Kluyveromyces lactis: one gene and its partner. The protein of the gene in region 2 interacts with the protein of the main gene of each other region in a pairwise test. Links are inferred from orthologs where the notes say so. Each region holds a gene or a part of one and is shown on either strand. Other genes may lie near its edges.

What was found. The genes of interacting proteins can lie anywhere in the genome.
Region 1: the proteins of VPS21 (region 2) and VPS9 interact in a two-hybrid assay, tested with the Saccharomyces cerevisiae proteins (3 studies listed by BioGRID, with this or other methods). The link is inferred for Kluyveromyces lactis from reciprocal best matches to the Saccharomyces cerevisiae genes VPS21 and VPS9.

What each region holds. Positions count from the first base shown.
Region 1 is NC_006040.1:867,458-870,706, reverse strand, and holds VPS9 (guanine nucleotide exchange factor VPS9), read left to right. Parts: upstream 1-1,262; coding exon 1,263-2,576; downstream 2,577-3,249. Other genes in the region: KLLA0_D10285g (putative asparagine synthase), read right to left, coding at 1-953.
Region 2 is NC_006039.1:1,172,090-1,174,608, reverse strand, and holds VPS21 (Rab family GTPase VPS21), read right to left. Parts: upstream 1,281-2,519; coding exon 654-1,280; downstream 1-653. Other genes in the region: KLLA0_C13750g (S-adenosylmethionine-dependent methyltransferase), read right to left, coding at 1-284; type 2C protein phosphatase PTC5, read right to left, coding at 1,691-2,519.

The DNA of each region.
Region 1 (3,249 bases), on a different chromosome or scaffold from region 2:
AAAAGTTGTGCAGATTTTATTGCTAATATTCTGTCAGGCGAGTCTGATGGCATTTTACCAGTTCTAGGATTTTCAAAACCAACATTCAGAAGCTCAATTATCGTTTCAGAATTCCTATTAATTTTAATGAGTTGTTCACACAGTAGTGCTGTGATTACGGAACAATCTAATCCACCAGAAAATAAAATGCTAATATTTCCGTTTTCCAAATGCATAGGATGAATTGTAACTATTCTTTGGTATACCGATCGTCTAAGGCACTCGTACAATTTAATCTTATACTCTTCTAATAATTGGAAATCATTATCAATCTGGTCGGAGACTATGTATGGCTCATCGTGAATTTTAACGGAACCTGTGAGTTGTTTAGTATTAATATCAAAGATATAAATGACACCGGCTAGACAGTTCTGGAAACCGTCACATCTTCCACTTACACTGGTAATATATAGCTCATCATCAAGTAATATGTAGCTCAAGCTTCGCTTACCGATGCTATCTCTCCCAAAATATACCTTTCGTTCTTGAAGATCAGTAATTGCGTACGCAAATTCTCCATAACATTTCCTTACTACCTCTTCAACAGAATGCTTTTCCAAAAGTGAAGAAATATATTCCGTATCACTGTGTTCACAATTTTCAACAGTATCATCATTATACAGTTCCCCGTTATACTGTAGAAGGTAACGATCTTGTACCATGACGCTTTGTTTCGTGAATGGTGTTCTTAAAGATAATACAGATGAGAACAACATAGCATTAATTTCAGATAACGATCTCAATGACGCATAGTTTGGACCTCTTCTCACGATATACGGTATCAGTTCATTAAATAACGTATTACTATTACATGACTGTATTGGTCCTGTTAGGTCTTTCTCGTATAGTTCTTGGAATTCATCAGTAAGAGTTGATCCAAATGATTTACCAAAATATGCCAAAATACCACACATACCAAACTAAAAGCGACCAACTCAAGTAGCTTATTGTACTCTAATTGAAGTATAACAACTCTACATGTAAAGCTTTATTACCAGAGGGGTCCACCTGAGATGAGATATATGTATATTGACAACTTTTTTTTTTAATTTTTCAGGCTGCCAAACCTTTAGAAATAAATCAAACATGTAAATAAAGAACAAGATTGACTCTTGATCGAGAACGCCATTTTACGAAAAGAACCCTAGCGAATCGTAAATGGTTTCGAACCAACAGCGAAACTGTTTTTTACATTCATAGAGGGTGACATCTGTTTATCCCAAATGGACGCAGACGACGATAAAGGATTCAATGCTTCTCCAGAGACAATTTCGGAGAAGCCATTAGCTGACGTAGGGGAAAACTTAGATGAAAAGAATAATTACTATGACTTTCAAGCATTTCTCAAGATAATGCGAGACCCTAAGGCAGATCCTATTGTCAAACATACCAAATCATTTATTAGGAATTTTGTAAGCCAACGAGAAAACTGGACAACATCTGAACAAGAGAAGCTCATTAATGACTTTAAAGTTTTCATATATGATAAACTTCTGACAAATGAAGCCTTCAGAGACCTCAGTGATGCGCAGATAAAGAATGCTAAGGAAGGAATAGAGAAATTAGTGATGGGGAAACTTTATTATAAGTGTTTTTCTCCTTGTCTAGTGAACGAGAAGAGAAGTTCAGATGCTACGCATGAACAGGATCTTTTAGATGACGCCAAGTTAAGGGACAAAATCTTAGAGTTCAGATTCCTTGGCCCAGAACATTTGGATATCATTCCGGATTTGATCAACGGAAAACTTCACAGTTTCATAGCACTTTCCGCAAAAGAACTGGCCAAAATCAACCAGTATCGCTCCCCTAGAGATAAAATGGTTTGTGTTCTAAACTCATGTAAAGTTTTATTCGGGCTTTTGAAACACAATAACAAGTTGAATGGTGGTGCGGATCACTTTGTACCATTGTTAATATTTACTTTGCTCAAAAGCGATGTCCCTCATCTTATCAGCAACGTTCGTTACATTGAAAGATTTAGATTTCCATCGTTCTTGATGGGAGAAAACGCATATTATTTAAGCACCTTACAAGGAGCGGTCAATTTCATTCTAGATATGGATATAGATTCGATCAGCATCTTAGAAACGGATAAAGACTTCAACAAGAAATATTCTCAGAATCAGGAGGAAATCAAGGATCTTAAAAAGCAAGAACTTCTAAATCCAAAGGATTCATCTACCAAGTTCCCACACCGTACTGTGTCACCTTCGCCAAGTGAGTATATACTCAAGCCGCTTGATGATGCTGCAAATTCAGTGCTAACTAAACTCAACGACTTTTGGAACACAAGTACTTCTCCAACACCCTCTTCACCAGAGTATGAGGATAGATCTCCCAGAGATCATCAAGAGATCGACGAACATACAGCCACCGTTTTGGCACAACAGATGGAGCATAAAGAGCAAGAAAATACACTTCAAACATTACAGTTGATGTTTCCGGATTTAGACCCAGATCTTATTCGAGACGTATGCATAGCTAGCAAATACAGAGTCGGTGTTTGCGTAGACTCATTGTTAGAAATGGCAGAATGATTATTAAACATTTCTTTGGGCGATTTATTAATAATTTCAGCCATCTGAATTATACATTGGAGATCCAGTAGCATGCTCAAGAGAAATCGTTTAAGTGTTAATACTGGTAGTGAATTGTTAATGTATCCTCACAATATCAACACCAGCACTGTCCGTATTAGTTACATTTTGTGCAATGCACTTATATAGAACTTACATTTAGTACCTTCACAAAGGGGAAGCTGCCCCCGACGAATGAGATAGTGATTGTAGTTTCATCAAGTTTCCATCTATTCGCCACCAGTGCCACCTATGCATGACCATACCTCCCATGGAATTTCCAATCGTTTCGAAACTGTCATGTGACGTTTTTTCAAAATACATATTGACGTGTTCAATCGTTAAGAAATACAATCTACGTATGCTAAAATAGCGATAATGCCCATGGGTTCCCGCACTAAAAGAAAGACTCTTTCACTTCACAAGCTTCCTCCTTAGTCATCTACCGTGAGTGGTATATGTGTTCATAACAAAAATGCTCCGGTGCTTATTCACCTATACTGCCTGTAGTAAAAGTGTCACTTGATGATTCCCATTCCACTTTTTCTTTTGAGCCAAAAGGTACCCTAGAAAGAAGAAAAGAGAAAATAAAATCGGTTAATTTATATAAGGCTAAGATTCAATCATTTGATTT
Region 2 (2,519 bases):
CTGGGTTGAGCCCATAAGTTTGGATCACTATTTAATCCCCACAATTTCACAGAACGTTCCAACAGATTCATGTAAAAAATGGAGTTTGTTTCGATCGCATCATGTACATCCTCAAGATATGAGTTATACCATGGTATCATTTGTTTCTGATGCTCGGACAGTGATTCCCACCTAAGTATTCTGGGTCGCCAGAACTCTTCTAACGCAAATTCCTTGTAACGAAAAAACGAGCTAGCAGTACGCTCCAATAATAGCACATCATTCTCCTCATCTTGGCCATCCATGACAATTTAAAACCCAGGTTGAATCCTTTAGAGTTTCATCACGCATGTATCATCATTCATACATCTCATTACCTGAATAGAGTTCTCTATGATTGAATTCATGAATAATCGATCAATACGGGGATCCGAAAAATTCACTACGCCAATATATATAGAAATAAAATGTAGGTACAAAAAATGTAAATCTAACTGATTTATGTATTACTGGTTATCTTAAACTTCTACTATGATGATATTGGAATATTATAGGCACGGTAGATATCTTGTTCTATTGGCTCCTTTCCTCTGGTTAAAATTAATTTCATCGATTGTTAATATGAATCATTTCGTTAGGCCATTTCCCCTAAAAAGAGGATAGGGTCGTGAGTATTAACAACCACATGAGTTGGGATTCGAGGTATCATCGGGTTTGTTCAAGTCGATCCTTCCATCTTCTGTTCCACGTAACCCATCGGTATTGGACCCATCCGACTTCTTTAAGGGTATTTTCTCTCCAATGGCCAAGAACACTTCGTTGACGTTATCACCAGTCTTAGCGCTAGTCTCGAAGAATAAAAGGTTCTCTTCCTGTGACAATTTTTCAGCCTCTTCTTTGGCTACTTTCCTATCCTCTTCAGATTCCAACAAATCCATCTTATTTCCAACCAATGCGATTACAATCCCTTTGCTCGCTTGTTCGTGTAATTCTTTTACCCAGTGGCGAGCCTTGATAAATGACTGCGGCTTTGTTACATCATAAACCACTAAAGCTGCTTGAGCATTTCTATAATACATTGGGGCCAACGATGCAAATCTTTCCTGACCAGCAGTATCCCAGATTTCAAACTTTATTGTGTGGTCAGCCATATTTACTCGCTGTGTTAGAAAGGCTGCTCCAATAGTGGGTTCTTTATTCTCAGCAAAATCATTGGACACAAAGCGCAAAACAATGGAAGATTTCCCCACCGCAGCTTCTCCTAGGAGTACCAACTTGATAGACGTAACGTTTGAATTCATTTCCTAGTACCTTACAACTGAAAATGACCTTAATATCAATGACGACCAGGTAAATCAAGATTTCTTCTTCGAAAGTTGGTTAATATGATGACTGTATGCTCGAGAGATTGTTTAGAAGAAAATGTGTCTGTCTACAATCTCAAAAACTAATTCGTACACTCTTGTTACCGATAGAGCAATCTGCTACTCCGGTTGTAAACGTTACGTTTCAATAAAAGTAGGGAGCATCGTTCATCCTTTTTTTAGTTTTATTTAGTTTTAGTATCTTTTCCCATAACGAAAACAAGGCTTTTGAATGTTGATAGTAGGTCACGTGCTTGGTGAACCTTCCTTCGAATCAGTGTGTTTATATAAGTGTCAAAAACGGTTATTTAACTAAATAACAACACTTTTATGCTAAGACTGCGGGTTCAGAGTTTAGATTCTTCTGGTTTGGTGGCTTTGTGGTTGAGTTCTAATTTACCATCAATGCCCTCAGTTTCTTCACCGAAAAAGACAACGGTGACAGTCAAGTCGTCTCTGTAACGTCTACTCTTCGTTGGAGGTATACTGACCAATGTAGAAACGTATTCTTTGTTACCGCCTCCACTGAGAGCGTTTCTGATTAGATGAGTTGCTACGTTTTCGTCTTGCATGAGATATTCGCTCTTAGAGTCAGGTTTTTTGGAGCTTTGGTACCTAAAAGCAGGCCTTTGTGCTTCTTTGTCTGGGGAGATGTCTTCTAGCTTTGGTAATTTACCTTGTGGAGATTGTTCCTTCAACATTTTGAAATTCTTTTTGATAGGATGTGATTCCATCCATTTCACAACGAGACCTGCGATTTCGTCATTACTCAACAACTCGAAAAGACCATCAGATCCTAAAACCATGAATTTAGTTTTAGGGTCCACGTTTGTTGTGGTTATTTCCGGCTTTGCTGTTACGTAAGGAGGTGTCAAGAAATCTTTAGGTTCCCTCCTGAAATATATCTTCAAATGGTCAGGTAGATCATAAACGGTTTTCCCATTTATCTCTTTCACTTTGTACCTGTAGTCACCAAAAGCCCTTGAAGGTTGGAGAGATCCTAGTATTCTACCCTGACGTACACAGTTTGGTTCATCAGGGTGCTCCTTCTGGATTCTCTCGACCTCTTGTACATTATCACCAGTCTGATCGGTACTTAAGGATTTTACAGTCCAAGCACCATCGTCAGACTGTTTTACCAAAATAGCACGTGAATCTCCGGTTACTGCTACCTTC